Linked DNA regions of Struthio camelus. The protein of the gene in region 2 purifies or fractionates together with the protein of the main gene of each other region. This does not show direct contact. Links are inferred from orthologs where the notes say so. Each region holds a gene or a part of one and is shown on either strand. Other genes may lie near its edges.

Region 1 (7,628 bases), on a different chromosome or scaffold from region 2:
GTTGCCGTCGACTAACGTGTGCATGTCCAAGTGATTTTATACCGTGTGAGGCTCTGCACTGCAGGCGGCGGCCAGAGCCGGCGCGGCGGCCGCCAGGGGCCCGCGCAGGGGGCCGCGCCGGGCAGCGGCCCGCCGGGCAGCGAGCACTTACCTAGGGAATTTCTCCTTCAGCTGCCGCAGGCTCTGTCTGGTGGGCTGCACCTGCCCCAGGAACTGGGCTATTTCATCGTACTGGGCTTTGGTCAGCTTCATGCCTCGCACCGCCAGACCGGCACGGCGCGGCGCGGCGGCGGGAGGGGGGCAGGCAGCGGGCTGCCCCACTCGGGCCCCCAGTGCCACGGCCGCGCGCAGCGCGGAGAGGCGGGAGGAAGGAAGCCCGTGACTCGCGGGGGAGAGGGCGGGCGCGCAACAAGCCCGGGGCACCCTTTGCTAACAGCCTGACGCTCAAACAGCCATAGGCGGCGGCGGTGGAGGCCGCCGCTTCCCGCCGCTCCGCCCAGCGCTGGGACGGCCGGGCCGGGCCGAGCCGGCGAAACGCGGCGGGGCGGGGCGAGCCGCCATCCCGCGCCGCTCGGGCCTGCGCAGCCGCTGCAGGGGCGGGGGAGAGGCGCGCGGCGCTTCCATGGGCCCCGCGGAAATGGCGCTTTTCTGGAGGTATCGCCAGGCTCGGAAGCCTTAAAGGGTCTCCTTGCCTCTCCCTTCCCTACAGCGGGAACTTCCCCAGGCCTTCGCCCTGGGGCGGCGGGGGGAGGAGAAGGAGAAAGATGCTGGCCTCGTGGCCTGGCCCAGCCACGGCTGAGGAAGCGCCCGTGGGCTCCTTTGCCGTGAAGTCAGCCGGCGCAGAGGGAGCTCGCGTGGGGCCGCGGAGGCTCCGATAGTCGTGGGGCCGGGGGCGCCGAGCGCCGCGCTCCAGTAGGCCCCGGGGGTAGAGACCGAAACAGAGCCAGGTCTGCGCCGGCAGTACCCCGGGGTGGCCTGGCTTGTGCAGCAGTTGCAGCACGAGGGTGGGGTGTAACCTCTCCTGAATCGTTTTGAAGTATAATTTTCAAGGCCTTTAACCGGCAGCCACTTTGAAATAACTGGTTCCCCCCCCCACCCCACCCCCCGCTTATGGTAAAGACCTGCTGAGGTAGTGGGATTGCGACCGTGGCTCCTCGCTCGCCTTAATTGTAGTGACCTGTAACCTTATGCTCACGCGCAAATGCCTTCTGCTAAGTTTTAGAAGAAAACCGTCCAAACTTAACGCTTCGATTGACTTGAAGTTTAGTTAAGCCTCGAGCGTATTTTGAATGACATGGTGATACTATGAAACATCAGTGCACATGGTTGAAGCCTTGATTCCTGTGCTGGGTGTTTTAAATAATTTTGGGAGATGGGTGCTCCTTTTAATAAAGAACTGTATATAGATGAGAGATTACAAAGAGAATCAATCATGCATCTGACTGACAAATATAATTTCAGTTTAACTAATCATGTGCATGAACTGTGTACAGACAATAATATTGCTAATTCCGCATGGTTTGGAGTCCCAGCCTTGCAGTTTCAGACACAGAAGTAATGAAATTTGCTTGAAATCTTGAGGAATTGATTTATGTAGGTTTTAGGTTTTGTTTATTTGCTGTCTCTTTTGAAGGCTTTGAGGATCACATTTTAGGTGTTTTTCTGCATCTTAGCCAGAAACTTTACAAAATTTCTTTGGAGAGTATGAGAACTGCAGCTTAAAGGAAAAGCATGCGAACAGTATGTGTATATTAGCCAGGTCAGGCACCCTGGCTTCTTATTACTTGACAGTGCCTGATGAACCCTCTGTCACTTCGTCTTCCAGGGTTTTTAATGGGTTTAGTTTGGAACCTGGAGCCTTCCTGAGAACAGGTGCTTCTGGAAAGGTGCCTTAAATATCGATGTTTGAAGCTTTAAAATATTGCTTTGTTTTATATAAGTTGCATTCTAGATTGTTCTATATTGGTGGTACGTATCTGACAAATATTAACAATAAACATTTTAATATCGATATTTTAATGTTAATATGAAGTCTAATAAGAATAGCGATATACAGCATTTGGATATATTAGACTTATTTGAGAGAATTGATTAGATGGTCACAGCTGTGTATTTGGTTGGCTTGGGGGCTTTATTTGGTATTTTACTGAAAGAACACCATTTTGCTGTGCTAGTCTTCCCTCCTGTTCTGATAGTATCAACAGCAGTTGTAAAACTGAAAAGGATAGGAATTACATTGAGTTATTATAAAGTTTTCTTTATTTCCTGTCTCAATAGGCTTATCTTGTTTGTTTTTTTGTTTTATTTTGTTATATTTTTACCCTGGGTTAATTAATGTGCATCAGCTATTGGAAAGCTAAAAATAAAATAAAAAGAAGGGTAAAGCTAAAGCGTCTGTCTTCATTGTGTTGAGTAACATCCCTCAGTTATTATAAGTAGCTAACCTTAAAGCAAAATGAAAGTGGAGGCAAGGCATTTTAGTTTTGCTATAAATGTTCTGAGGTCAGTCTCAGTCAAAGGTACAAGACTGTCTTCAGTAGGTTTGTCACAGTAAATGAAGATGGTTTGTTTTCAGTGGGTTTTTTTTTTTTCGCCTTACAGTGTAAGTAAACACAGTGAAGCTAAGCCAAATTATAGATTCCGTTCCTTTCTTGGAGACCAAAAAATAATATGTGAAATTGACAAAAGATTTTCCTTTTAAAGGAAATATTATTATTTAATATTAAAATGCTTTATTTTCTTTAGCTATATGAAGTAGTAGTCTTAACACTACAGGATGTTTGTTGGGAGGGATGGGTGAGTTCTTTTTAATGTGATACCCACTTTTAAGTCCCATGAGGGTATAATTTTCTTGAGCCATGGAAAGGATCATTTTCCCTTATCTTGCAAAAGATTAGAATTATGACTTCTGAAATATAATTTTTTAAAATAATTTTGTGCGTCTTCACTACTACTACTACTACTGCTTCCTTAGAAGCGCATAAAGCGTGCTCTTAGAAATGACTTACATCTTCCTTTCTTTGTTGCAGGATAAGTTCCAGTGAAACTTGTTTTTAAAATAATAAGGTTTCTAGCTTTAACTTGTAGGTTTATCTCTGTTCATCTCCCTTGTTCAGTAGTAATTTAAAAAAAAAAAAAAAAAAATTGACATTTCATTCTGCATTGCACAGCGGTGGAATAGTTTTAGAACTGCAGTATGAAGTTACCAATCTCTGGAGCAATGTCTGATATAGGTATTAGATATGTTTCTTATACTATTGTCCTAGAACAAGGTTCTGCAGATTTCAAAATTATTTTAAAAAACAAGAAAATAAACTGGCATGAATATTCACTGCAACCAAGATGAACTAAGAGAATATTATCCTCGTGAGATAACAGCCCTCAGAGATATGAATCACTTTTCATCCAAAAGAAGCATTTACGGTTAAGTGTAAGGGCTTGAATGTTTTAAAACATAAATTGGAAGTTCTGTACACAAAATGTATGAGCCACAGCGTGCCTATATTAATTACCACAGAACTATACCAATGACGTGCTCAAAAATCCAAACAGACACACAAAAAAAACCCTGACGTGTTCCTATCAGAAATAGCTCAATTAAGCTGCCATCACCGTTTTTACCATACGCAACAAACACTAGACCGTGTGAAGCTGAGCTGTGGATAGCTGTATAAGGTGTTGTGGATGTTGGGAGTTTGCATAAATTCAATAAGCAAATGAGTGAAATTTGTGGAAGAAAAATACATGAAAAGCTTTTAAATACCTTTAGCCCAGGAAGTCTCTGAGATGCAAATGGCTGGATGCTGGGGGAATGTTCTGAGGAAGTATAATTATGTGCTTGCTCTGTTCTTACGCTCCTTCCTTGGCATCTGCCCTTGGCAGCTAGTTTTTTGGATTTCTGCCTTGGGGATGGGTTCCAGTCCATGTATAAGAAAAACTATGTTTCCTTCCAGGAACGAAGGTGGGCTAAAGAAAAAGAAACAAAGGGAAAAACAAGTGACTGGAAGTGACGAATGAGGGGGAGAAAGAGAAAGAGAGCCCCTAAGCTGTAGGGTCAAAAATATAAATAAAAAGAACCAGAGGGAAATAGCTGGCCGAGAACCTCCAGTAATGACCATCGTTTAGTAAAGGTAGTCTTGGTCACAGTTGGCAAAGGATAAAGTAACAGACCTTCGGTCTGCTTTTTATATTATGTTATTTGATATTTTACCAGTGATCTTAGTAGGTGTCCCCCATTACTATGAGAAGGTGATTGCATAGTGTCATTTATAGCCAAGTTCATAGTTAAAATGCCATTCATTACTTTCCACAGAGCTTAAAATCACTGTGTTTTGAGGCTAGATAATTATAGTACGGTGTTATAAGGAATAAATTCATGCATAAAGTGTGAATTCTGATTTGAGTTTTATGACTTTACAGCTATCTTTTTACTTTACCACTCCACTTCTTTTATAGACAGAATCTCTGCTCCGTGTTAATTTTCCCATAGCAAAATTAATGCAAAGACTCTAAGCACCCATATGTATGTTCCAGGAAGGGTAAATGAGCAATTGCATACTGGTGAAAGTACTTTTCTCCAGTTTCTCTGCAGGAATGGTGGGGAGCATCTGGAGGAAAGAGAGAGGAAGAAGCATTTTTCAGGCTGAGAAGAGACTTTTCATGATAGGACCAGATCTTGCTGAAGATACTGAGAGAGGCTGGTGGGAGGGGAACTGTATGAAAGAGGATTGTGGAAAGAAGGACAAAAATTCCTAGAGTGCTCAAGTGACTAGAAAAATGAGCAAGGAGCTTTATTTTGTACAGATTTATAGTTCACCTGTTCAAAACTGAAATAGTTGGTTTTGAAACACTGAAAAACCTGTACCATTGACTTCACACAACATTCTAGAAGATGTGTCAGTGGGATTTGAGGTTTGGAAAAAAAAAAAAAAAGTGTCCTTTACTCAACTGGAAAGTCAGTGACTTAGTGGCAGATTCAGGACAAGCTGTTAGATAGTGAGGTCACAAGTCTTGCAGAAGGAGCTAGAAGGAAAATCAATATCCCAAAAATATACCTGGAAATCTGAAATCATGAGTAATTCTAGCATTCTGCATGGATTTAAAAAACTGAAAAGTTTGTGCTTCTAGAAATTGGTGTTCATGTAAGAAGAGAAAACTTACTTAGTTTGTTATCTTCAGCTTCCTTTGGAGGTTCAAAAGAAAAGACTGTTTTAATTTTTTTTGGTGTATGTGTGAACTTTGAGGTACCAGTTCTCGGAAAGTTCTCAACTGCCGTTGCAACATCTTTGATTCACTTTCCCGTGCAGGCATCAGACATTTTGAGATCCTTTGAACCCTTTTCTTCTCTCAGAGGGTTCATCTACAATCAACATGTTGAACTTGAGTCTTCAGGTACTTTTTCAAAGACTTTTCTGAAAAAAAGGGTGTCAGGCTTTGTTTTCATTGGTAGGTCTCATACAAACAGTTGATCACCTAGTTTAAAATTGTGCTGCTAAAATACATGCCATTTTGATACTGAGTAGCTTTTTAAAGTTTTACCTTCTATCTTCTTCCTTTATAGACTGTATAGCTCAAATGTTTTTGAATTTTTAGGTTGTCGTAATTGGCCTGTTCTGCAGATGTGCTTTGAAAATTAAATCAACTATTTTTTGATTGTAGGTTTTAGAGTTGGGAACTGCAGTAAGACTAGAATCTCATTTGCAACTCTTATTAGAGCGCCTATTACAATTTTCTATGCGCACAGTGTTCTCACTTCATTCAGTTTGGTGCAGAAGTTTTTGTATAGGTATATTTTAGTCTCTTTTTCATGTGTTTTTTATTGTGAAACACAGCTCTTCTTATTTGACGTTTCTAAATTATAAGAAAAACTTGAGTATGCTTCCGCTTAATTCAGTAGTAAGTGTATCTGTAACTGGTTTAATAAACATCTCCACAGGAGACAGTTGTTACCTCATAAACAAGGAGAACCTTCAGTTTATCATCTAATTTATGTCCATAGGTTCTAATGTACTAACTGAAAATAAATGTATTGTGGAACAATCCATGATACACTCAGTCTGTATTGGAAAGAAAAGAACAGTTGATCTATACATCACTGTTAAGCATTGACTATTTTGCCAATTCACAAGATGATAGATCACAATAAGTTTCTGTTTTTTCCCTAAAAGTATTCGTAGGATTACTTGATATCTCAACACTGTGAAGACCATGACAATGTTAGGATGATTGTATATAGGAGAATAGCAACTCAAAGAGGCAGACATTGCTTTTCTTCTGTGTCTTCAAATTTATTTATTGTAATCACAGAAGTAATTGAGGAAGATAAATCTAGCTTTCTGTACTATAAGTATACTCAATATATCTTTCTTTAAAATATTTGTGTTCTTGCTGAAGACATTTTTTAAAAAATATGTGTGTGTTTGTATTGTGTTTTGAAAACATTGTTTTATATACTGGGGGCCTGATCCAATGCTTGATCTATGGTCAATTGGAAATCTATCATTAATTTTAATGGACTTGGAAGCAGACCGTTTTTAAGGTTGTAAGCTGTATGTTTATGTATTTTCTGTAACAAGCTATAAAAGAATTTTGAAAATGATGAGTTACTTAGAAAATCAATTTCAATGACTGAGATGTTAACATACCCTACGTGTTCTTGTGCTGGAGCTTGACTCCATGGTAATTCCGTATGATAAAATTTCTGGAATTTGGATTTGCTTTTTTAAACTCACAGTAGTCAGATACATAAACCTATATTAAAATATCTTTCTGGTTTCAAATTCAGTTATTTAAAGTTAATTTGTCTTCTTTGTCTGTATGCATTAAAATATTATTAACTGTTGCATACTACCTTTTCCCCAGGGGATTTCTGCTTCATTCACTGGACAGGGAAAACACTGTAGCTGTGTGAGGAATTGAGTTGTTTTCTGTAGGACCACTGTCTCATTTGTTGAAGCATTTGGAATATGTACTGGGTGAATGAAGCAGGAACTACAGAAAGAAAAAAGTTAAACGTTAAGGTAATTTCACTGCTGCCAAGGAAAATGGATTCTCCCCTTGTCTCTTTACAGACTTCTCATGTAAGCTTAGAAGTCTTTTGGTGGAATTTTCCTTCCGTGTGGCCTCTTTTGAAAGGGCAGCCACATTATCCAGTGCCAGACATCCTATTTAATTACATAGGTGCCATAAGCAGTTCCCAAAGAGATCATCCCAGCCCACTCCAGCCAGTTTTACATTCTCACCTGTGCACTTGTATCACTACTACTAGTGCTGATTGTGTGCATACATGGTCAGGCAGATCCAGCTGAAAAATGAATATACCAGAAAAAAAAAAATAGAAATATTATTTTTCAGCTGAATCAGCTTGTGGATCCAACTCACTGGACAGAGAGCCCAGCCTCATCAATGTAAATGCCAGCACAGGGGAAGAAATAGAGATACATAGCCAGAGATAGCAGGGCTACCTCTTCCTGTTGACTGTAGGGTTAACCACACAAATTAGACATCCAAATTAGGTGTCAGTCATTCAACAGTATGATTATCGGGCATCTACTGAGATCTTACAGAGATACTTGAGAGCCTCTTGCACTAAATACTAAGCACTGTCAATGGATCTGGATTTAGTGGAA
Region 2 (7,430 bases):
ACTAGAAGGAAGTGCAACAAGACTTGCACAAAGCCAGTAGCAGGCCTGTCCTCCAAAAGACAACTGCGGAAGTTCCACGGAACTGCCCAGATGGAACTGCTCACACAGAATATGGAAATTATTTACTCTGTGCCCTTATTTTATGCGTTATAAGCCTGAATTACACTGTATTTTGCTTTTATCCTGCATTTTTCTCCTCTAATTTCACATTCTTGAAGCTACAGATTTTTGCACTGACAGTACACAGTCACTTTGCAGAAGTCGTCAGAACGGAAAAAAAAGTCTTAGAGGCTGCACAGAGGGTATGTGACGTGGGTCAACTCAGGCAAAATTCAGGAAGAACATTTTCAACATAGAGCATAATATGGCTAGAATTATTGATACACACAGGGAAAGGAAGACACATTAAATCTGTCTTACAGACAGTAGCAGAATGTTCAATAAAATCCTGCAGGAAAAAGAGGCAGATAAGAGGGAAGGAGGTGCAGGGCCTAGGAAAACAAACAAACAAAAAAACCAAATCCCCCAAATGGCATAAAACCTAGTCAAAATAAAAAAATGATATGATCAGGAAGAGGAGCCAAAAATATGCGATTTGGGCAAGAGCTGGATGGAAGACAACAAGGCAGAATGTGGAAAAGGTAATACTTTTGAGTAGCAGTTTTCATGAATACCAGCGACCAAATGATTTGGGCTTGGACCAGAGCTGTATATACCTGCAGAGAACGAGAAGGTTTGAGCTGAAAAAAAACTGGCGGGGGGTGGGGGGGGGGGAGGGAGGAGGCAAATTTGAACACACAGTGGTTTGAAAAGGAAAGCAAGAAGCTGAAAGCTGGAGTTGATATCCATGCCACACCCAGCAGATAAAACTGAGCGGCCTGGAAATCTCTTGGTCTTCTTTTTGTTACCATTCAGTATTTCTGAATTTGGGGCAAACAAAAGCCCTCACTTCTGAGTTCCAATGCAAAGTTCACAAAGTTCCTCATTTCACTTATGACTATTATGACAATTCTCACTAAAAGACAAGCAAAAACCACAAAGTCATCTTAGGGACGTGCCTTTGCCTGCAGTGGTAGATTGAAAACAAAACAGTGCAGAGGGAATGTATTTATTCTGGTCGCGTGCAACCACTAGTCCATTGCACTGCCCTTTGAAATGCTGGCTCACCTAGTTTAAGAATATCATAAAGAATAAAACTATACAGTGCAACAAACAAAGCAGCTACACTTAATCAGCATGGCAGACCTGTCTCCAACATATTTGATTTCTGAGTACAATAGAAACATCTTACGCTATTTTGTCACATACGGTAACACGCCACTTACCCTGCCTTAGCTACGCTGATGGTCTGTTGCTCCATTGCTTCATGGATACTGGTTCTGTCATGTTCTTTGATACTGTTGAACTCATCAATACAGCAAAGGCCTCCATCTGCAAGCACCAGGGCTCCAGCCTCCAAGTTCCACTCCCCAAAGTCCTTCACAGCAGTCACTGTCAAACCTGAAGAATCAATTACTTCAGTCAGCCTTTTCCATAAAACGCAGGAGCGCACTTCAGTGAAAGAAAGGGACTCCGTACATTGGCTTGTACCACAGACAGAAGGCAAAACAGCAGGTTAGCTTCACCACACAACTCTACCATGTAATTCAGTTTACACCTACCAGTAAGAAATCACACTAGTACTATGCAGGTCAGCTCGGATCTGCTGAACAGGGTCTGTTAAGCTTCCCACGTTTGGTAATAACTTGTTTTATGACATTGATAAATGTACAAAAGTGATTACGGTTAAAAGACTGAATCTGTTAATCAAATTGAAATTTGGGGTAAATGCAAAGATAGCAAAATTACAGAATGGATACACATAGCTCTTCCTCCCCATCAGCTATTAAAACAGACAAAGATTCCAGAACTGAAGAATGAAGCTTGGAAAAATAAATTATTTCAAATATTCTGTCCCCAGGAAGCTGCGACAGATTCTCATTTTGAACTAAGACAATAAGGTCTCTTTTTGAGATTTGGTTCCTTTGAGCATTAAGCTAAAATGAAAAGCCAAGATACTCAAAGATGAAATGGAAAAAAGAGTTCCCAAGAGGTAAATCCCGCTGTAAATCTATGCATGAGACAACACCAGGTGCATCACAGGCCAGAAAAACTTCCTCATACGTCTTCTGGTTACAGAGCTGCACTTTCAGCTTTACATTCCCTCTACTAATTATTTCCTATGATGCAATACTGACACAGTTCTGAATGTGGGTTAAGAGCCTCAGGACAATTCTACTGCTAGGCATTAAACAACATTTAAAAACGGGGTTGTTTTGGGGGCTGTAACTAAACCTGTGGGAATGGCTGTTCATTATCAAATAGGTGCAGCTCCTTTCAAACTTTGTATTCCCTATTTCCCAGCCTTTTCTCTATCTTTAGCCCTTCTTTGTCACCCTGCAGCGTTCAGCTCAAAATATCCTAGTAGCTGACAAGCTGCAACCAGCCTCGCATCTCCTGGAATGCTAGGGCAAAACTAACCAAAAGATCCTCCCACTAAAACTTCAGTGGGTCCAGAGAGGAGAGGCTGCTGCTGCCTTCTCACCACTGTGCAGATGACCACAGTAGCTGTTCGCTTCCAAATAGCCAGTGAAAAGTTATTGGAAGTATATGTTTCCTGTTAAGAGATCACATATTTTAGCTTGTTAAGAAGAACCTCTTTCATTGCGTCCCATCTCTCCAGGTTTCCTGGATTCTGTAAGCCCAGTACTAACCACACAACTTGGGCAGTCAGTTACATAGCAGAATTACAAAAACCAAAACAGTCTCTAGTCTCCAGACAGACACAAGGAGAAAGTTATAAAAAAGTATAGCAAGCAAGATCAGGCAAGCATGCAGACCATGACATTTCTTTGTAATTACAAATCAAAAACATCGTCTCCTTTCACAATTTTGCATGAGCTCGGTGCTTTGCTGAAGGACCCTGTGCCTCAGTGCTATGCTCCGACCCGCTGCAGACCCGCTCTGCTTCTGCCAGCACAGCTCAGCCTTTCCGTGCAGGGAGGAAGATGGCTCCGACGTACCTTCCTGCCCTGTGACCTCCCCTGCATCCAAGGGCTCCCTTCAGGCAGGACAACCTGCCTGTGTATTTACTTCCACAGACTCTCCACTCGGGGTTAGGAGGAAAAATATTCACCTAGCCCCGGGTAGGAGCTCCCCGCTGGCCCACAACCCAGCCCCCCCCCATAGAGGCAGGAGCGGTGCTATGGGGACATATTTATGCTCCCTATCCCCCGTGCAAAGGAGGCCTAAGATGGCCTCCTCTGCGGACTTCCTGCTGCTGCACAAGGGTGTATTTGGCTTCCCGATGCATTATTTCACCCAAGGCCTTCTTCAGCACATTAAGAAATTCAGCACATTCTTGAAAATGCTGCTGTTTAAAGGATAACTCCTGACCCCTCAATAAGCTGTTGGATTGATCTCTCTAGCTATGCGGATTCGCCACAGAATCCGGGCCCACGCAGACCAGCCCGGAAACCTGGCACCCCACTGGAAAAACCCCACTTATTCAGCGCGTGCCCCGGGGGTGCGCGAGGTTTCCGTCTGCGCGGCCTCTTCCTGCACTCGGCTGGCGGCAGGAGGTCGGGGCCCCGCGGGGTGGCGGGCGCACCTGCCCGGGGCGGCCATCCGCCCTGGTGCACTCATCGCGTTAGCACCAAGCCCTAACGGCAGCGACGTTGTGCGTCGCCTCGTCACTCAGGGAAGGAACAAAAACCACCTCTGCGGAAATTGGAAAGGGCGGGGGGGGAGGGGGAAGAAGAAGAAAAAAATTTAAAAAACCCCCCAAACGACAGCACATGGCGAAAGCCCGGGAGCGAGGAGAAGGCGGCGGGGCCGCGGGCCGCCCCGCCCGCTGCTGCCCGCCCCGCCCGCTGCTGCCCGCCCCGCCCCGCGCGGCCCCGCCCCTGCCCGCGCGGCGACGCCGCCGCCGTTGCCCGCCCGTTTCCGCGCGGCGCCGGCCGGGCGGGGGCGCCGCGGCGAGCGGCGAGGCGCGGGCGGCAGCGCAGGGGCCCATCTTGGTGCCGCTCGGCGCCTCGGCTCGGGGAGGAGGGCCCTAGCCCAGCGTGCGGCCAATCCGGGCGGGCGCTGGCGGCGAGCAGGGCAGAATGGGCTGTAGTTTAGTGAAATAGGAAAGCTGCGAACAGTGTGGAGTGTTCCTGGTGTAAATAAAAGGGGGGAAAAAAAAAAGTTTCTTCAAGTCACAGCTCTACGGCCTCGCTCAGACAGTGGCACTGGGGTTTGTGCGTTGCAAAAAACCAACACACTGGACTTTATTGTGCTGCATTAACACGCTCTTCCTATTGTTTGTGTTTTTTTCAAAATATGGCAAAGGTTCAGGTGAACAATGTAGTGGTGTTGGATAATCCTTCTCCTTTCTACAATCCTTTTCAATTCGAAATCACATTTGAGTGCATAGAGGACCTGTCGGAAGGTGAGTAGATTTTTTCCCAATACCGATTTTGTAACCCAGGGCTGTTAGTTTCAGGGGTTTTAAGGTTTAAACTTTGCGAAGGCCTGGTTCGACAATTTAACAGTTTCTCCTTCACTGCATCGGTGTGCCTAGATGAAAGGATGTGCTTGCAGGCAGCTGAAACGCTGGTTTAAAATCGCTCTCGCCGAGCCCGCCGGGGAAAGTTGATCGCTTATTTCGCCCTCGCCGCCGAGCCGGGGGGCCGCGTTGCCCGGCCGAGCTGTGCATTTGGTAACGCAGGCTTTAAGTTGCAAGGAACTTGTTTGAGTGGTGGTAGCCATGTTGCCAGCTTTGTGTGTGTGGGGGGGAGAGTGCGCCTGAGAGGGAGAGGGTTAACCGAACCCAGCTCGCAGCCAGCCCTGCTCCGGAGGGGAGCTGAACTGTTGCTGAGCGAGTAGCGATACGCCGGGACGTTTACCCGATGCGGGCAAAACATTTCGGCGCAAACGTTTCATTGGCCTCATGCTCAATTTTTTAATACTTTAGGAGGAGGAGAAAAAAAAAAAAGGTGGCTTTCGGAGGCCGGGGCGGGCTGGCTCATGCCGCTTGCAGGGGCCGGCGGCGGCGTGCGGGGAGCGGGCGGGATGGCGGTACGTTAACTGCCCTGCCGGTGGGGGAGGGGGCCGGCGCCCAGCCACTATTTTTGGAAGTCACTCGAAAGTTACCGGCTGCCGCCAGGAGGGGAGCAGCCCCGGCGGCGGCTCCGCCGCGCCCGCCTCCCCGCGGGGACCCCCCCCCCTTCTCTCCCCGTCCTCCCCACAGCTCAGCCGGGGGCTGCGGGCCGTGCGCCCCGGGCCCCGGCGGAGGGGCGCGCCGCGCCGCTGCCGGCGGGAGGCGGGCGGGCGGGCTCCCGCCTTCTCCTCAGCCGGGCGGGCCCGAACCGCCCTCGCCGCCGCCGCGCCGCAGCGCCTCCCCGCGGGCCGCCGCCGCGGGGGGAGTCGCCCCGAAACGCCCGGCGGGCGCGGGGCGCCGCGCAGCCCCGGGCCGCGGGCTTCCCTCGGCTCGGGCCGGAGGTGCGCGCTGGGGGTCGCGGCTGCTGCCGGCGGGAAAGCGCCAGGGCGGCCGTTAGCCGCCCTCTCTGAGGGGACAGCCGCGAGCTGCGCCCCGGCGGGGCGACGGTCGCCGCCGCGACCAACGCTGCCGCGCAGCCAGCGGCTCGAGGGAAGGGGCAAGAAAAACTAAGTTCATAAGTGATAAGGTGTGGAAGAGGGTTCCTCTGTTTCTAAATTTGCCTCCTGCAGCCTGCTTCTGTAACAGTTTCTGCGGGCCCGTGCGGGTGACTGGCGGGGTGCCCCCGGCCCCACGCCGAAGCGCGGCGCGGCGCCGCCCTTCGGCGACGCTGCGGCTGTGGCGGGAGCCGGTGCCGTGCCCGAGCCCTCCCTCCTCCAGGCCTTGGCCCGCGGCTCCTGCCGACGTGCCGCCGCTTCTAAAACTCGCCGAAGTATTAGCTTGGGCTGGCTGCCGCCACCTGTGACGGTGTTTGCTCCGTGGCTGTGTGGAGGGGGCTGGCTGTCTCTTTCTCGGCCGGCTGGGCTTATCTGAGAGGCAGCTTAGGAGCCCTGGGCTGGACGGGGGCGGCGGGCAGCGGTGCGCCCCGGAGGGGGCCAGGCGCCAGGCATCATGCCTTTCCTGCCAGTTGTGCACAGCTGTGCATCACGTGCCCCTCACTTTGTGCATTTACGCCACAGTTAATCCAGGACAACCGGGGCGAGAAGAATTATGTAGATGGTCTGCCGCAAAATTCTCCGTTCCCTTCCCCCATCTAAGTGCGAGTTAGACTACAGGATAAATTCAGGAGGAGCACTGTTATCTTTCACACAGAAAAGTAAAATGAAACGTAGCCTTCCCATAGCTTATGAAAAAGTTGCCGTCGTTACCTTAGCTTTCACATGCAAATATATCTATTTATTGTGCTTTTTTTCAGTCAGTCCTGTGCACTGCTGACCTAAAAGTAAATTCATAAAGTCCAGCCCCCTTTCCCTTACCCCAGTCTTTTTTAAGTTATCATTCCACATCAAGAATCCTAAAAAGCATTGGCTCAACCAATCATGTAATTTAACTTTTTTTTAAAGTATGTTTTTCAGTACTAAATATTACTAGTCTAGAAGGAGTTTCATACTGTCTTCCTGGAATAATAGCACATGATGGCAGGATAATCTTAAATAATTTTAGGCTAAAAGTACTCACTTGTTATGTACAGTAACTTGCACTGACCTTGAGAAAACAGGTCACTAATTCACCTGGATTACTAGCCCGCAGTATTGGCCGTACCTAGTAGTAGATGCTTACAAGGTAAATAAAACCTCTGATGCAGTACCTGGCCTGTTGCGTGTACAACGGAATAAAATCACTTCCTAAACCCTGCTAAGCATATTACTTAAAAACTGAAAACTTGTATTAACGTGGAAGCGTGATTAAACAAAGGACTGCATTAATGAAGAAAAACAGCTGACTGCAATCCTAAAGCAGTCCAATTCTGTTGAAGTGCTAGTTTTTGCTTTGCTTCAGTTCCAGTCTTGCATCAAGAAATCATAACATAAGCTTCTGGATTTTGTGGAGAATGCAAATAAAATAAATGGAATAGGCTACAGGTTAGTGCTTTTGCATACGTATTCAGGGCATTACTCATACAGTAAAATACAAATATAAAATATACCATGTCCATTTTAAGGTGCTGTTTTGAAGCAAGAATTTCATTACAAAAATACTGACTTTTTAGTCACATTCTTCCATAATGGTGACCTTCTTGTTTTCTCATGTAAGAAAAGAAAAACAACTTTCAGAATTAGTTGTATATGCATGTATGTATATATGTGTTATTAAATCAGAAGATGAAAGTGAATTTGCTGGGCCAGGAAAAGCTAATGAATGCTAATTTGCTTTTCAAACACCTGTGGCAGAAAGGGTAAGTTAGAAAAAC
Region 3 (7,624 bases), on a different chromosome or scaffold from region 2:
CATCAGTGATATCTCTAACATTTATATTCAATCATTAGTCATTTAATAGAAGTTTGAGCTGAATGATGCTAGCCTGTCACACTACACACACAGGGAGGTGTATCTCCTCGCTGATGCCACACTTAATTCCCTCAAACATACAGTTTAGGAGCAAGGTTTTTACCCCAGCTCCCGCTCAGTGGGGTGTTGCAATAGACTGAACGCATCTAGGACTGCAGCCTGTGCACCTGAATGGTTAGACGTGGGGTGTAGGAACTGGGACTTCTGTATGGCTAGGTCTGCTTTTGGGCCAGCCTGAGCTTCTGTTCCATTATTCCTGAACATTAGTTTCAGCTCTCCCATTTCACAGCTGGAGGAACTGATCTGCCTTGGAAATATTCTTAAACTCACAAATGAAAAGTGCTATGAAAGAGTTCAGTGACACTGTTTGTGCTTCCGTGTATGACCTTGAGTAAACTATTTAATTTGTTTCCTCATGTCCATCTGTAAAACTTAACATCCCAGCAAGTCTCTGTCTTGGAAAGATAGGCGAAAGCTCTGATTTTTATAAAGTGTTTTGAAGTGTGCCTGTTACAACACTTATTCAATACCACTGCAAGGCAAAAAGATTAACTATTCTTAATCCAGTTCTTCAAGTCTCAGCAGCTGGAATTCCGGAAGACTTTTGCTTCAGGCTACGGAAATCTTGTTTTGTTTTGTTTTGTTTTCTCTTTCAAGAAGAACTAACAGCACTTGGAGTAGAGGGAACAGCTCTTGCTAAACTGAAAAAGTTGATTGTACACATTTGGTATATGAATAATTTCAAATGCTGCATAGTTTAGATTTGTAACTAAGAGTAAGGTGGTTGTTATGACTTGAGCTTATCTGTTTGCTTCACAGGTGAATGGAAAGCTAGTAGCAAGAGATGCTGGACACCCCCACTACCCCTTCAATGACCCCTATTAACTACTGGAAAATAAGGTGTTAGAATAACATGCTCCTCTGGGTGCCCTTCCACAAAGTAATTGTTGCCACCGTTTATCAAAAAGCCTGTCCAAATAAAACCTTCCTTTCTGAATAGGAGGCCTGAGAAGGTTTACCTATATATACTGCTTTTAATTGACCTCCTTTCTGAAGATATTGTAGTTTCCATGTCAAAGTTTGTGGGATTTGTTACAATGACTGCAAGCTTGCTCCTGGAAGCATCAAATGTTTTGGGGATTAGACAGAGTGGTGGAGTCCAAATCAAGCTCCAAGCGCTTCATAATTGGGCTAGGGCAATAGTTTGGATTTACTGTATGTAAAACGGTTTTGAATTCTTTAGTTATTACCACGAGAGAGGGGGGGGAAAAAAAAAAAAGGAGGGGAGGGGAGAAGGCAGTAGCGTGAAACCATTTTCTGACTAAACAACTGCTCAGTTATTGACTTTGATATCCTTATTAGCGTTTTTATACAGGGAACAAAGTGAAAGTGCTATGGTTGCTCTATGTCTGTAAAGCATTAATTACAGCCCAAATAACCAGCCACGTCCAGTGTTTTTTATTCCCTTTAGAATACTTGTGGGACTTTGATCTGCATTTTCTTTTTCTTTTAACTGTTATGTGAACTTGAGGGAAGTAAATGCATATCCGGGAGCAGGCCTTCAGGGTAATCCTTTCTGTTACTTGTCGCAAAGATAGGTTTTAGCTCTGGCAATGACCGATTGTCCCATCGCAAAAGCATCAATAACTTTGTTAGCAAGTCTTGGGGAAATCCATCCTGCCTTACCCATAATGTTGTCCAGTGTGTCTTTGAACCAAAGATGTCCAGTTTGAGTTCTGGAAGATCACAGAATTAGTTCCTGACTATATAATAAGAGCAAAGACCTAGGCCCCTTCTATTTTAATGTGTCCTTTTCAATTGCTGTCTGGGCTGGGACTTGGGATAGCTGGTCCTGTCCCACATTCTACCACTGAGTCATTTGCCTTTTCTGTGCCTCTGTTTTCCAACTTGCCATGTCTCTGTGTTATTCTGAGGCAGGGACTAATTTACTGAGTGCTGATGTACCATTGAGTACTGCTGGATCTCTAGCAGTAACAACATTTTGTTTTGTTTTAGTCTCCCAGTAATGAATTGTCTAGCCATCTGAGTATAAAAGGGTGTAAGGTGTTAAACAGTGCTCTGATAGTAATACCATTTGTGGCCTTACCAATGTTGTTTAACTTTTTGACTTTTTCTACCTGTAAAATAGGACTGATGCTTATTCGCCATTGTGCAGACATGGTAACAAGGCACAGTTTCTAAAGCTTATCAGAATTAAAACAGAGGGATTCTTTCAGATCCATTGATGCCATTCAGAGAGTGTCGTAGGCAAGAGTTCTGGTTAACTGCTGGATAAAGAAAGCGTAACTAACTGTAAGTGAAATAAAGAACGCTTTTTTTTCCCCCATAGCAGTAACAACCCTCTGTATTCAAGTAGTTCAAAAACTTAAAAAAATATGTACTATCTTAGTTTTGCTACCTTTATTTCATTTGTAGTAGGCCTGTATTAAAACCATATAGCATAATCTCGAGCATAATGCAGGCCAGTGTCTCCTCAGGTATTTTCTGCTATGAGCTGCACAGCAGGCAGATGAATTGGAACAAATCTAATTTTTAAATAAACATTACAAAAAGCGATAAAAGAATTTTTCTGTCCCTTAGCAAAGTGTTTTCTAATGCAGTCTACTGCTGAACTTACTTGAGTACAGAAAACCATTACAACTCGGTGAGGTTTCTTTACTAGACTGGAAGGGAGACAAATCTATGTGTTTTTTTTTTATTATTATTCTAATCAAACATGGATGACTTGGAGTATGGTTCCTGCTGCAAATCAATAAGGAAGCAATTTTACTTTGAAGGCGCTTTGTAGAATGATAACAGCAGTCCTCCTGTCAAGAAAAATGGCTTTTGTCACTTGTATTTCCACTTGTATGTTTGCATGCTTTAAATAAATATTGTATTCAGTGTATGACTTTGAGACTTCCTCCTGCCCCCCCCCCCAAATGTCAGGAGGCCAATTAACTTTTTCTAGTTACTTCTCTAAACAAGGGGATATAAGTAAGTAGGCAGAGAGAAGTCCCAAGAAAAGCTGGTGATTCCCTGCTTATGCCCTCAGCTCTGTTACAGCCTGGAGGAACCCAGCACAGCTGAAGCTGCTGAACTCTTATTTTGAAATGGCACAGGGGGAAATGTGCCTCCAGGTCTCCGCCAATGGGTTTGCTGCTGCTGTGCGAGTTTTCTGGAGGTCTCGGCTGTCACAGCTGCAGCAGCCATGTCTGTGTTGTCTGCTGCCTTGCATGTGCTGTGGAGAAAGCCTCCCCGGGAGCTCGGTGGGAGCCGGTTAACTGCCTGCCTTAGATAGACGGTGCAAGCGCCATGATGTTGCTGCCGTGCCAAGGGTGGCGGGAGAGAGAAAACAGGAGCTCCCTAATAAATGAGAGTTCCCAAGCGGTGGCAGGCCATTCCCTTCCCAAGACACTGGGGCAGGGGGCGGGCGGTGGGTAACCGGCTGCGGGCCGCGCTCCTGCCCGCCCGCCTGTCCCCCTTCCCGCCGCAGAGCGGGGCGGGAGGGGACGCCGGGGCCCGTGCCCCCGCCAGGGCCCGGCTCACCCCGGCGCCCGCAGGGCTGTCGCTGCCGTTGGCGGCAGGTCCCTTCCCCTAAGTTAGGAGGCCCCCGGGACAAGCGGAGCGGTCACCAGCCCGCCTGACCCTGCTCGCTCGCCCTTGCCGGGCTCCAGGCTGCCCGGGCAGCGCTGTCCTCGCAAGATGTCCACCCTGCCGAGGGGGCAGGGGGCGCACCGCCACCGTCCTGCCGGCCCCGGGGCCCGCCCAGATGCTCTTCGAGCCGCTGCGTGTGCGGGGACGGAGCGGCGGCCCGGCGCAATCCCCCCCCCCCCGCCCCGCTTCTTGGCCCCGCACCGACTACATTTCCCAGCGGGCCGCGCGGCCGCGGCGGCCTCCCAGCCGAACTCCATCTCCCAGCGCGCCCCGCGCGCCCCCTTCCCCGTCCGCTCCGGGACGCGCCCCCTCCGCTGCATCTCGCACTACGTTTCCCACCTGGCCGCGCGGCCCCGCCGCGGCTACTTCCTGCTGGGACTACGCTTCCCGCCGTGCCCTGCGCAGCGGCGCCCGGGGTGGCCGGCGGTGGGCGGGCGCGAGGCATCCTGGGAGCTGTAGTCCCCTGGCGGCGTGCGCGCGCCGCCAGGCGGGTCGGGGCGTGTCCTCGGGGGTATATAGGCAGCCGGAGGGGTAGGGGTCTGCACTCTGCCGCCGCCGCCCCTGTCTCCAGCAGCTTCTATGCAATCTCCGGCCGCCGCTGCCGCTCCCCCCTGCGTTGAGCCCGCACCGGCCTCTCGAACTAGGTAGGGTCGGGCGGGCTGGGTCCGGTCACGGTGTGTGCGTGTCGGGAGAGGAGGAGGAGGGGGATAGGGCCGCTTTCGCGCTGCGCGGGTGAGGGTGGGGGGTGGGGAGAAAGGGAAGGAGACGGCGGGTGGGCCTCGCTTCGTTAAGGGGGGGGCGCCAGCCGGGGGTCTCTGATTGGGCTCGCGCGCCTGCCCCCCCCCCCCCCCCCGCGCGGTGGTACGTGCCGCCCCGCTCCTCGAGCGCCAGCTGGGCCCGCTCGGCTCGCGCGGAAGCACCACGTGACCCCTGCGGGGCTGCTGCCATCTTTGTTGGGGGCAGCCGAAGCCGCGGAACCTGCCGGCGGGTTGGAGGGGGGGGGCGGGAGAGGCGAGGGAGGGAGCGGGCGGGGTGGAGGGGGGTGGGTGGGAAGGAAATCCCGCCGCGTCACGTGACGGCGGGCCGCCAGCCTGTGAGGAGCCGCCGCCGGTGTTTGGCGCCAAAGGCGGGGGGCGGGGCCGACGGGGAAAGGCGGGAAAGAGCCCATTGTCTGCACGAAGGCGGGGGGGGGGGCGGGGGCCGCCTCGCGCCGCCTTTGTCCCGGCCCAGGCTGGGGGGAGGGGGCGAGCGCGGCGGGTCCGGGGCCTCTGGAGGAGCCGAGGGGCCCCTCGCCTGCGGGTCCCGGGCGCTGGCGGACGGGTGGCCCCGCTCCCGGCGGCGAGGGCCCTGCCGTTGCCGGCTCACCGCGGCACCCGGGAGCCCCGCGGCGGGCCGGGCCGGGGCTGGGGCCGGGCGAGCGGCCGGTCTGAACGCCTCTCCAACCTTTCCGTTGCAGGATGGAAGCGGAATCGGCTGCTCCTTCCACGTCCGCAGACAAAACGGACAGGTGAGGCGGCAGGGTGAGCTGAGGGGCCGCCAGAAGCGGTCCTTCTTCCGGCCCGCGGCCAGGCCGGCGGCCTCGCCGCCGGCTCCTCCGGGCGCTGGGGACCCGGCTTCTCCCGTAGCCTCTTGCAAACGTCGGGTGACAGAACCCTTTCAAGGGTTATTGAAGGCACGAGTAGAACAGACGAGTTAGTGAATGCTGCGGCTAGCCCGTAGGGATGCTCTTCCGTGGGCGGCTGGGGCTGTCCGGTGTCGGGCAGGACACAGGACTGGGACGGACCCTCCAGGAGCCGCACGAGATGCGCTGAACTGCATCCAGGGCTTAACTAAGCCTGTTGTTCTTCTCAGATGTATCGTGCTGTGCTATGAGAAGTCATAACTTGGCGTCGCTCCCCTTTGTTTAGCGAGTATCAGAACGGGAAGAAGCGCTGGCCGGTGCTGGGCGCTGTAGTGGTGCGCGGCTCCTGAAGCACGTCCCAGGAAGTGTTCTTTGTCGTGCCTGGTTCTGTGATCTGCTTCTTGCAGCAGTTGGTTAGCGTTAACCTGCCTGTGCTTGGACATCACAGCTGAAAGTTGGTCCTGGTGAAACTACTGGTAGTGCCAGTGAGCGGGATGCACGCAACTCGCTGTCATACGTAAAGCTGACTAGGTTTTGGAGGCTGGGTACAATTTTTTTTTTTCCTTCCCCTGATATTTCATTTTCTGATTATGTGGAAACTAATGGAATCTTGTATTCTGTTTTTTCAGTATGGATGTGGATGGAGAATCCAAGAAACTATTGGGTTTAGGACAGAAGCACTTGGTAATGGGAAATATTCCAGCTGCTGTCAATGCATTCCAGGAAGCTGCTAGTTTATTGTAAGTAATAAAATGCTTTGTGTGCCTTAATAGGACTTGGATTTCAGCTTGACCGATACAGTTAAACAAGGAAGATGTAGGGTTTTTTGTTTTTTAAACCTTGGATAGGCTGCTGCTTTTATAGTACATCTGAGGACGGTACAAGCTATTTAAAAGTAGGATAAAGAAACTCGGATATCTGAAAATACCGTAGTTAGTGTGCAGTTTAGGCAGCTTAGTAATAATTGTCAGTGTTCTTGGGAGAAAAAGGAATTTGGTATTTTATTTTGCAGTGTATGGTTCTGATGTAGTCCGTTAATCTGAAAATAACGGGGTCATGTTACTAGCCCATTCTTTGCTAGTATTGGTCAGTCTCTGAGGGTAATGCTTTTTGAGGCTTCTAGATTAATTTATTTTGTTGGATGTTTGAGAACCAGTTCTAGATTAGTGAGAAGGACATTCACTATTCGCTTGAAAGTGGGAGATAGGCTAAGGAACTGATTCTTCCTGTCTAGGTGTTCTTAATAGCTTTCAAGTTCAACATCAAAATCTAAGAAAGACACAGACCCAGAATAATGCTTCATTGCCTTTGTAGGGGTAAAAAATATGGTGAGACAGCGGACGAGTGTGCAGAAGCTTTTTTTTACTATGGAAAATCTCTTCTGGAGTTGGCCAGGTATGCTAACAGTTTCTCATTTATAGTGTCCATCCATGGATGTGTCACATGCTTCCTTTGGGTAACTTATAGCTGAAAGTGACTGGCGTACCTGCTTTCTGGGGGGAAAAGGAATGGCTAGTTTGAGAGGCGATTGAGATTAATTACTGAGAGTGAGAAGTGATATTGGAAACAATAGAATGGTTTCTGGCAGAAAACCAGAACTCAAAAGTAGGAGCAATCTACAATGGCTTGTTTGATGTTATTTAAACACAAGCTTTGTAGCAGAAGTACTCTTTTTAAGGGATCATATGGCGAATATCCATGCCTCTTTGGAGGGAAGTATATCTACAAGGTTAACGAATACCCAAATATTTTCAGAGCACAGCCATCCTGGCATCTGAGCACTGTCAGGTAAAGTGTAATTGTCATGCTTTGAGATGAAAAGTCTGGCTGGGGTAATAGGATTTTGTGCTGGTACTGGAAGGGTTATACTAGAACGATGGGTTGGATGGGCCAATGAGTTGCACGTTTCTACAGTTAGAACGGTATCGATATAAGAGCCAAGGGATAACAAATTTCTGTTCCCTTTAGAATGGAGAATGGTGTATTGGGAAATGCCTTGGAAGGGGTGCAGGTTGAAGAGGAAGGAGAAAAAGCTGAGGATGACTCTGTGTTACCAACTGTTGATGGTATGTAAAGCTGTCTGCCGTGTCATGGAGATACCAAGCTGTATTTTCTTGTCTAAATGATCCAAGTCCAGTTCCATCACTTTTCTAGGTAGTTTGAGTCATTGTATTGAAACTTTTAGCCTTAATGGACTTTTTTTCCTCTAAAGTTTTGTAAAGATTGAACAAAACCTCCAAAATTTTGCTGGGAATTGATCGTTTAAAGCATGTGTGGGCGGTCACC
Region 4 (7,864 bases), on a different chromosome or scaffold from region 2:
CGTGCAAAGCCAGTAACTGGTTTGCATTATCACACTATGCCAGGAGTCCAGCACTTGTTGCTCTGCTACACTGGGTATAGTTCATGCCTACTTGAGTTTAAGTATGTATTTTAGAGGAGGAAGACTGCAAGTTTTAACAGTCTAAAACTGGTTGATTTGAGACAATTCACACAGCAAAAGAAGCGGAGGACCTGTCACATCATGAAATCCAAGCCCCAGCTAGCTTATTGCTATCTCCTTCAGGCCAATGAGATTTTTCCCTCACAAGCGGTACAGCCTCTCATTACATCCCAGTGGGATAGCTGATGAAAAGCTTTCTCAAAAGGCTCAAAACAGCAGAAAGCAATTCTCGCCAGAAGACATAACTGGCGAGCGCAAACCCAGGAGCAGTTCCACCCCTGCTCAGCACGTATACTTTCCTATTCTACTAATTTGCTCCATCTCTTCACCCTCATTTACTCAAGCCACATATGTCGTTTTCAGACTCTCACAGGGCAATATCCACTTTCCTGATTTTCCCCTCTAATAATGTAGTTAGGGCAAAACAAATACACAGGCCAAATAGTCCGGACTAAGTCTAGGCCAGGCTTGCCTAGAGTGTCCAAGCCCATTCACCAGGACTGCTCTACCCCACGCCTTTAAGGATGAGGTTATTGTGCCTGCTGCAAGAGAAACTCCCACTTTACATCTCAACGGATATATTCTGGAAAAGCCTATTCACTTCTCAACCGTTCAAGTCATGTGATCCTTTCAGCCATCTGCGCAGATAATGCCCTCTTTAATTTAAGAGTTCCCCTTGCAGTACAGGGCCAAAAGTCACAACGCTTTCATCACTTTCTCCATAGAGCCGAGACACTAAATTGAAACTAATTCAGATTCCAAACCACCAGCTCATGCAGAGCTATGGCTTTAGAGGTGTTCATCCTTGTGCTCCAACCTTCGCTGGCCAAAAGCATCACATGACCCCAGGAGCGCTGAACACACCCTGACTTTTCCCCTAAAGCAACTGCCCATGTCAAATGGTGCACACCTATCAAGATGGCTGACAGCACAAGTTTTGTACCCTTAATTCTGAGAAGCAGATAAAGACTCATTTGACTTGTCCTCTGTCCTCAACTGCCAACTTACAGGTCCTCAAGGCACTGCAGCTTCGCTTAAAGCATTGTTTTCTACCCCCCGGTTTCAGAAACACGGAACTTGAGAAGTATCCGCACCGACTTGTGCTAGAAGTGACTAGGCTACGCTTCCAATTAGCGTTCTGTCATAGTAACTGGAACGGCCTCGTGAAGTACAGAATGGAGGTTGTAAAACATCACTTACAGACAAAACTGCTTTTGAACACTGTCCACGCGCTAACTACCAAAATGATAAGTCACGAGGCATGCACTTCATCATCAATTTATAAGCATGAATCTATAATAGAACTTAAAGTTACATTGACACTACGCGAACTTACCAGCAGCTCAAAAGAGCAAGATTTAAATATTTTAGGTAAACAGTTTAAAGGATTCAAAAGGGTAATAGTTCAGTTACTATATGAATAAGTTGGCAACGCTCTCCAGACTCTTCCCATGAGCTTTGTGAATATCCTAGTCATCCTTTCCACTGTGAGCTCAGAAAGCCTTATTACCTACTATACTCCCTACTCTAATGAAATAATATTTAGAAAACAACCCAAGAAGAGAGACCAACCTTCCTAATAGGCGTGGAGACAGCTAAAGGACTACAGTTTCTCTTTGTTTCTGCAGCAGGCTGTGCCTCAGGTGAGCTCACAGAGTGAGAACTTAAGGAGGAATTAGTAAGTAGAGAGTCTCCTTCGCGGGATGATTCCAGAGTCTCATTTTCTGATGTGATGCTTCCATCCAGAGAAGCAACTTGAGGAGACTTGGCAGTCATAATATCCTCCAGGAGCACTACAGGCATCTTCCCCTCAAATATGACATCCTTCAGTTCACTCTGATTTATCTTTGTTTTCTCCAAGTTGTTACACTCTGGTAACCCAGAACAAGACTGGCTTCCACCTACCAAAACTTCATCTTTATTTGCCGCAGCTTCACACGGTGCAGTCTCCATTGAATCATCCATTGGGCTATTCTGACTAGAATTCATGCAACTCGACTGGTTTATATCTTTTTCTAGCATGCCATTAGTTATACCTACAGATGAAGATGCTTCTGAATCTAAATTAGCATGGTCCACATCATCACTCAGTCTATGGCTAGAGTCCTTTGTCAGGTCAATAATGATTACAGTGTCATTTGTGTTATGTTTTGTGTTTTTCTGTATAAAGTGATCTAACGGACCCTTTCCGTTAACAAGTTTTGGAGTAAAATTCACATCTGCATCCAACTGGCAGTCATTCTCCACATTGTCCAGGGACGCACATGACGTATCGAGAGAGGAATCCTTGTTTTGTCCAAAACTGCTTTGTGAGCTCTTTACTTTTTTGACTTCTGAATCCGCATCATATTTTTCCTTTGGTACAGGATTCAAGCGCTTGAAAGGCAGCCGGGCTGAAACAATAACATTTCGCTATTTTAGTCACATCATATAAACCCATGGGGGGAGGGGGGGGAAGGGACACAAACACTGCAATATTCACCTAGTTCTTAAACACAAGAAGAGAAACTGATGAGCTAGAAGGGAAGAGTTTATTATCGCAAACACAATCTATTGTACAAGTTCAGGCCTGACACGTTTTAAAGCACTAAGACCGCACTGGGTGCTAGACACCTGCTCCAGAGCCTTACCTTGCACAAGCTTCCGTGGGGGAACAACCGCTTTGCCTCGACACTCCATGGCTGCAAGGAAAAAAAAACACCAGTGACAGGTTTCTGCTTAGTCACCTGCTCCCCAGGGGCAGCCGGGCCACAGCGGCCCCGACGCCCCTCCCCAACACGCAGGGCAGTCGGGACCTCTCGGCCACACAAAGCCCAGCCGCGACCCGGCGCCCTGAGAGGGCCTGGCCACCCCCCGAGTAGCAGCGGCGGCAGCGAGCGGGGGACAGCGGCCACCGGGCCGCAGCGGCGGCGGGACCAGGCCCGGCGCCTCCCTTTGTTACCGCAGGAGGCCTCAGCGCACCCGCCGGGAACCGCAGCGGGCCGGCGGAGCCGAGGGCGCCGCCCGGGGGCCCCGCAGCCCCCCCTACCTGCCATGGGCGGGGGCGGCGGCGCCCGCCGCTCCCTCCGCCGGCGGCAGCGGCAACAGCCCGGCCCGGTCCCCTCTCGCCCCGCCCGAGCGGGACCCGCTCGTATTTGGCGGGAGCCGGGGCGACCCCGCGCCTCACCGCGCCGATAGGCGGAGCGCGCCCCACGTGACGCGCCCTTCCGCCCGCTCCGCCCCCGCGCCCGCCGCCCAAGTCTCGCGAGAACGCCGCCTCGCCCGGCGGAGGGAGGCCCGGCGCTTGCCCGCCTTCGCTGCCTTCCGATTGGCCAGCGGGATAGCCGCAGCTGATTGGCGCAGGCTGCTGTCAGTCTGGCCCGCTACGCAGAGCTGATTGGCTGGCTGAGGGAGGCTCCAGCTGGCTCTTCACGCCTGGCCTCGAGGCCTCGTTGCTCAGCGAGCGGGAGCCGAGACAGCGGCGATGCGGTCCCGGGGGAAAGCTCCGGAGAGGTCGGAGCGGCCATTCCGCAGCGCCGGGCAGCGGGAAAGACCCGGCCGCCGCGCCGCGCCGTCAAGGGGGCGCGAGCCAAACCGCGAAATGGCGGCGGCGGCAGCCAATGAGCGAGCGCCTTCCCGGCGCGAGCCCCCTCCGCGCGGGGGTGTGGGAGGAGGGCGCGAAGACGCTGCCGCAAGGGCCTCTGGGAGTTGTAGTTCGGCGGCGGCTGCGAGGCGGAGAGCCTCCTGGGAGTTGTAGTCGCCCCTTTGCCTCTCCCAGCGCTATGGCAGCCCTTGGGGGGGGGGGCGGGCGGGAAGGGGGGCACAGCTTGTCCCCACACTGTCCCCACACGGGCCCTCGCTCCCAGGCCTCGGCCCGCCGCCCCCTGACCCCCCGTGCTGCCCTGCCCCAGGCGGCGTGGGACGCAGCGCCCCGCCACGGGCCTGCTGGGGACGCGGCCCCCGCCCAGCCTGCCCGCCGCGCCTCCCCGGGAGCAGCTCCCTCCTGGTCGGGAGGGCTGCGGGCCCCATGGCGCTCGCGGGCTGGCGTTGTCCCCCCTCCTTAGGGACGGAGCGAGCGCCCTGCGGTGCCTCGCTCTGGCAGTTGTAGGAGTTGACCCTTCACGCTTCCGTCGCTGAAGGTATTTTTTTCACTTTAGGTTTATAAACGCGCCCCGTGGTCCGTAGCAGGGCACTCAGGGCGGGAGCGGAACCGGTTACGGGTCCGGAGAGAGCTGTTTTGCACCAGCGGCTGAGAAAGCGCTGCCTCCCGCGCAGGCGGCTTGTGCCCGTCTCCTGCGGAGAGTTACGCTGGACCGCGGAGCTGCCACGACGCTCCCGCCGCCAGGTAAGAGCGGAGCCGCTGAGGCGGCGGTCAGAGCGCGGAAGCGTCGCCGCGGCGAAGGCGTCGCTGCGCCGGGCCGGAAACCGTAGCCGACGGGGCGGCACTATCGCGACACAACCTCCTTCCCCTCCTCCCGGGGGCGCCTCCCTCGCGGCCTGCGCCGCCCGCGCCGGCAGGGGGCGCCGCGGCTGCCCGCCGAGCAGCAGGGCGGCGCTCTAGCCGCGCGCCTCTCGGTGGCGGCGGCGGTGGCGGCGCCCCGCCAGGCCGGCAGGGGGCGCAGTGGTGGCGGGTCGGGTCCCGCGGCGGCGGCGGCGGCGGCGGCGGAAGCTGCGCGCCAGGCGTCCGCCGCCCGCTGTGTCCGTGCGCGGCCGGCCGAGGCGGCAGCATGTCGGTGGCGGGGCTGAAGAAGCAGTTCTACAAGGCGAGCCAGGTGAGCGCCCTGCCGCTGCCCCCGCGCCGCCTTCAGCCCTCCCGGCGCGCTGCCCCCCCCCCCCGCTGCCGTGCTTCGGTGCTGCCCCGTTTCCCGCCGTCACCCCCCCCCGGTGCCCTCCTTGCCGGTTTCGTGTCCTCCAGCTTGGTGCCAGCCGTTATTCCCCGGTGCCCCCCCCCCCGGTATCGCCGTCCGGTGGCGGTACCGCTCCCTCTGACAACGCGCCGTTACTCCCATCCCGGACCGGTGCCCGTTCCCCCCCCCCCACACCCTCCCCGCTACCGGGGTCCGGTGCCGGTTCTGTCACTGCCAGCTCGGTGCCACCGGCGGGGCCCCTCCCGCGTCCCGAGGAGGCCGAGGGCCGCCGGCGCAGCGAGATGGCGGAGCCTCCCGGCTTGGGCCGCTCGTCGCCCTCCGAGGTTGCCCGAGCCCTGGGCCGAGCTGGCAGGAGACGCGGTTGTTCCTGTCGCACCGGCGGGTCCCGGGCTCGGGATGACGCCGGGTCGGCCGCCACCGCCGCTTTCTAGCGACGCTTGAAGTCCTCTCTCCGGGTCGACGGCGCGGACGCGCTGCGCCTCGTCGCCAGAAAGGGACGGCGGCCCCGGGACGGAGGGAGCTCGTTCCGCGCCCCAAACCTCGCCGCCAGCGAGCCGCAGCCGTCCCGTGGGCATCAGGGCGCGAGGGCGGCGACGGACCAGCGCGGCAAGGAGCCTGCAGGCGGTGAGATGCTCTTGGACTAAACGTCGAGTCGGTGTATGGATTCCAGGAGCAAAAAAATAAAGACGGAAAGGCTGAAATTCTGCAGCGGAGCAGAATTCAGGCCCGGAAGGTGAGGTCTTGGCTAGGGATCACCGGCCCTCGTTAAGCCCAGCCTGGCAGAGAGCAGCGGCAGATTGCAGCTGCAGCCTAACCTCAGGAAGTTCCCGCTTCCTTGATAGTAGCTGACATTGGGACTGGGAAAGGATTTTGCGGTTTGCAGGGTGAGGGTGTCCAGCTTCTCAGCCTGTGTATGCGCTGCACAGGAAATGGAGGCCTGGCGATTCTGGAAAAACTGTCAGAGGTGCAATTTTTTAGTAATTTATTAGCCAAACGAAGCCATTTAAAATCTTCCTTAATTGATAGTTCAAAGTGACGCTCCTGAACTAAAAAGCGTGTTTACGTCTTCGTAAAAAGTACATCTTAGGTATGGCTCCTCACAGCTTGGCGGTGGGCTGAAGTTCTCCAGCTGAACGCGGGGGGATTGGCCTCTAATGCAGTTCACAAGCACTTTGTGCCCCTGTTTTAAATTTAAGACAGATGAGTTTTGCACTGATCTACCAATTGGCTCTGTGTGTTTTCCAGGCGTAATGTTTCAACACTTCCAAGCTTGGTCCAAATATGTTTGCTACGTGTGTTGCCTCCTTTCTTGGCTGTAATTCATGTAAAAGCATTTTGCTTAAGCAGCAAAGCAAAATAATAAATTCCTTAAGTCGTTCCCCCATCCCTTTTCTTGCGACAGAAAAGCAATCCCCTGCATCTAGTTTTTTACAACTTCCAAGGGAAAGATTGCACTGAAAATTCATTGTTGGAGGATTTTACTTGTGCAGATCTGCTGTGTTGTCGTAGCAGGGCAATTAGAGGTGAAAGCTCATCTGTGAGTCAAAAGTAACGTGATTCTGAAGTCCGAGTGCGTCATCCTAAAACATCTGCTGAAACTTTTCACCAGGAGAATTATTTTAAACTGAGGTAAATCACAGGTGGCCTTTGCAGGTGTTTTTCTGTTCCATATGTAACTTTTTGAAAGGAACCGTTCTAGTTGCTCGTGGAAAAATTAAACCCCATGCAGCTCTTTGGTGAGATGTAGCCCAAATATTCTGACTTAGTGGCCTGTTTGTATATTGTGTGTGTACGCACATGCTTTATTTGAACACTATGTTCAAGGGCATTACTAAAAAGTGGGAGATAAGGTGTAGGTGCAATTGCACCTTGAGTTCTTTTGCAGCTCGTGCTGCTGCAGGGTTTTGGAAACTGATTTAATCTGAAGAAATTGCGTTTAACGCGAGGCTTGCTGCCAATATTCACGGTACCATTGCAGAAGTGAATTGCATGCTTTGCGGGGAAGTAGAGAAGGGCAGTCTGCTATCAGAGGACAGACACTGCTGGCTCCTTTGGAGCATCCTGGGGGCTGGGACGCAGAAGTATCTGAGCTTTAGAGATTCTTTTTCTGCGATCTGGGAGCGATTGGTCCCAGTTCTACCATTTTCCTGCATTCTCCTCCTCCTCTTTCCCTTTTCACTCTTCTTCCCCCTCCTTCCACCAGTCCCACTCTTGGGCTCCTTGGCTGAAGGAGAAGGAGGATTAGTTATTTTTTGGCTCTCTTAAAGGTATTAGGTGCTGCCAAACCCGAACATGTGGAAGATTTTTCCTAAAATGTTGCAGTTAATTCCATGTCTGTTGTTGATTGAAGGAAAACGTAGCCAGGACCAAGGCCTGTGAGGACCCTCTCAGAACCTCTCTGTTGCTGCAGCTCTGGGTGTGGGATTTTCCCCCTTGCCTCCCAGCGAGAAGAGGCTGCCAGTTCGGCCTCCTCCAGACCCGGACAAAGCAGGGTGGTGCTGCAGGCGGTGAAGAGGGCTTGGTCCTGAGCTCCTGCCTTTAGGAAGGCCTGACTTATCTGATTCTTGTGGGTCTACATGTTCCCTGGGTGAGGCTGCCAGGCGCCCACACGCAGGAGAGAGCCGAGATAGTATCCTGCAAAAAAAAATCCTGCTTGCAAATGCCGCAGAGGGTGAACAGTTCTGTGTGTGCGTCCAGAACAGGTTTTGCTAGTTCACAGTGAAATGTCCTTTTTTAAGGAGGGGGAAAAATCCCATCGAAAACATTCTCCCAAGAGGTAGGGGGAGAAACAACAGCATCTTTGAGTTCCAGCGCTGTGAGCCAGGAGCAAGGTGGGAAGTTGCGCTGCAGCCTCCGTCAGCGCCAGGGATGTGAGACCGGGCCGGTCCCAGGCTCCG

Evidence for each region.
Region 1: the proteins of ASF1A (region 2) and CDIN1 purify together in Homo sapiens (affinity purification with mass spectrometry; 3 studies listed by BioGRID and IntAct, counting the BioPlex papers as one, with this or other methods). This does not show direct contact. The link is inferred for Struthio camelus from reciprocal best matches to the Homo sapiens genes ASF1A and CDIN1.
Region 3: the proteins of ASF1A (region 2) and NASP purify together in Homo sapiens (affinity purification with mass spectrometry; 6 studies listed by BioGRID and IntAct, counting the BioPlex papers as one, with this or other methods). This does not show direct contact. The link is inferred for Struthio camelus from reciprocal best matches to the Homo sapiens genes ASF1A and NASP.
Region 4: the proteins of ASF1A (region 2) and CHAF1A purify together in Homo sapiens (affinity purification with western blotting; 3 studies listed by BioGRID and IntAct, with this or other methods). This does not show direct contact. The link is inferred for Struthio camelus from reciprocal best matches to the Homo sapiens genes ASF1A and CHAF1A.

What each region holds. Positions count from the first base shown.
Region 1 is NC_090946.1:49,777,830-49,785,457, forward strand, and holds the start of CDIN1 (CDAN1-interacting nuclease 1), read right to left. Parts: upstream 3,120-7,628; 5' UTR 253-3,119; coding exon 152-252; intron 1-151. UniProt on the Homo sapiens protein: Plays a role in erythroid cell differentiation.
Region 2 is NC_090944.1:65,344,383-65,351,812, forward strand, and holds the start of ASF1A (histone chaperone ASF1A), read left to right. Parts: upstream 1-3,996; 5' UTR 3,997-4,362; coding exon 4,363-4,471; intron 4,472-7,430. Other genes in the region: DNA helicase MCM9, read right to left, coding at 1,326-1,500. UniProt on the Homo sapiens protein: Histone chaperone that facilitates histone deposition and histone exchange and removal during nucleosome assembly and disassembly.
Region 3 is NC_090949.1:27,444,835-27,452,458, forward strand, and holds the start of NASP (nuclear autoantigenic sperm protein), read left to right. Parts: upstream 1-4,177; 5' UTR 4,178-4,296; coding exon 4,297-4,361; intron 4,362-5,173; coding exon 5,174-5,224; intron 5,225-5,967; coding exon 5,968-6,078; intron 6,079-6,652; coding exon 6,653-6,733; intron 6,734-7,306; coding exon 7,307-7,404; intron 7,405-7,624. Other genes in the region: AKR1A1 (aldo-keto reductase family 1 member A1), read left to right, coding at 880-945. UniProt on the Homo sapiens protein: Component of the histone chaperone network. Binds and stabilizes histone H3-H4 not bound to chromatin to maintain a soluble reservoir and modulate degradation by chaperone-mediated autophagy.
Region 4 is NC_090967.1:4,459,019-4,466,882, reverse strand, and holds the start of CHAF1A (chromatin assembly factor 1 subunit A), read right to left. Parts: upstream 3,315-7,864; 5' UTR 3,156-3,314; coding exon 3,149-3,155; intron 2,802-3,148; coding exon 2,751-2,801; intron 2,514-2,750; coding exon 1,693-2,513; intron 1-1,692. Other genes in the region: SH3GL1 (endophilin-A2), read left to right, coding at 4,827-4,871. UniProt on the Homo sapiens protein: Acts as a component of the histone chaperone complex chromatin assembly factor 1 (CAF-1), which assembles histone octamers onto DNA during replication and repair.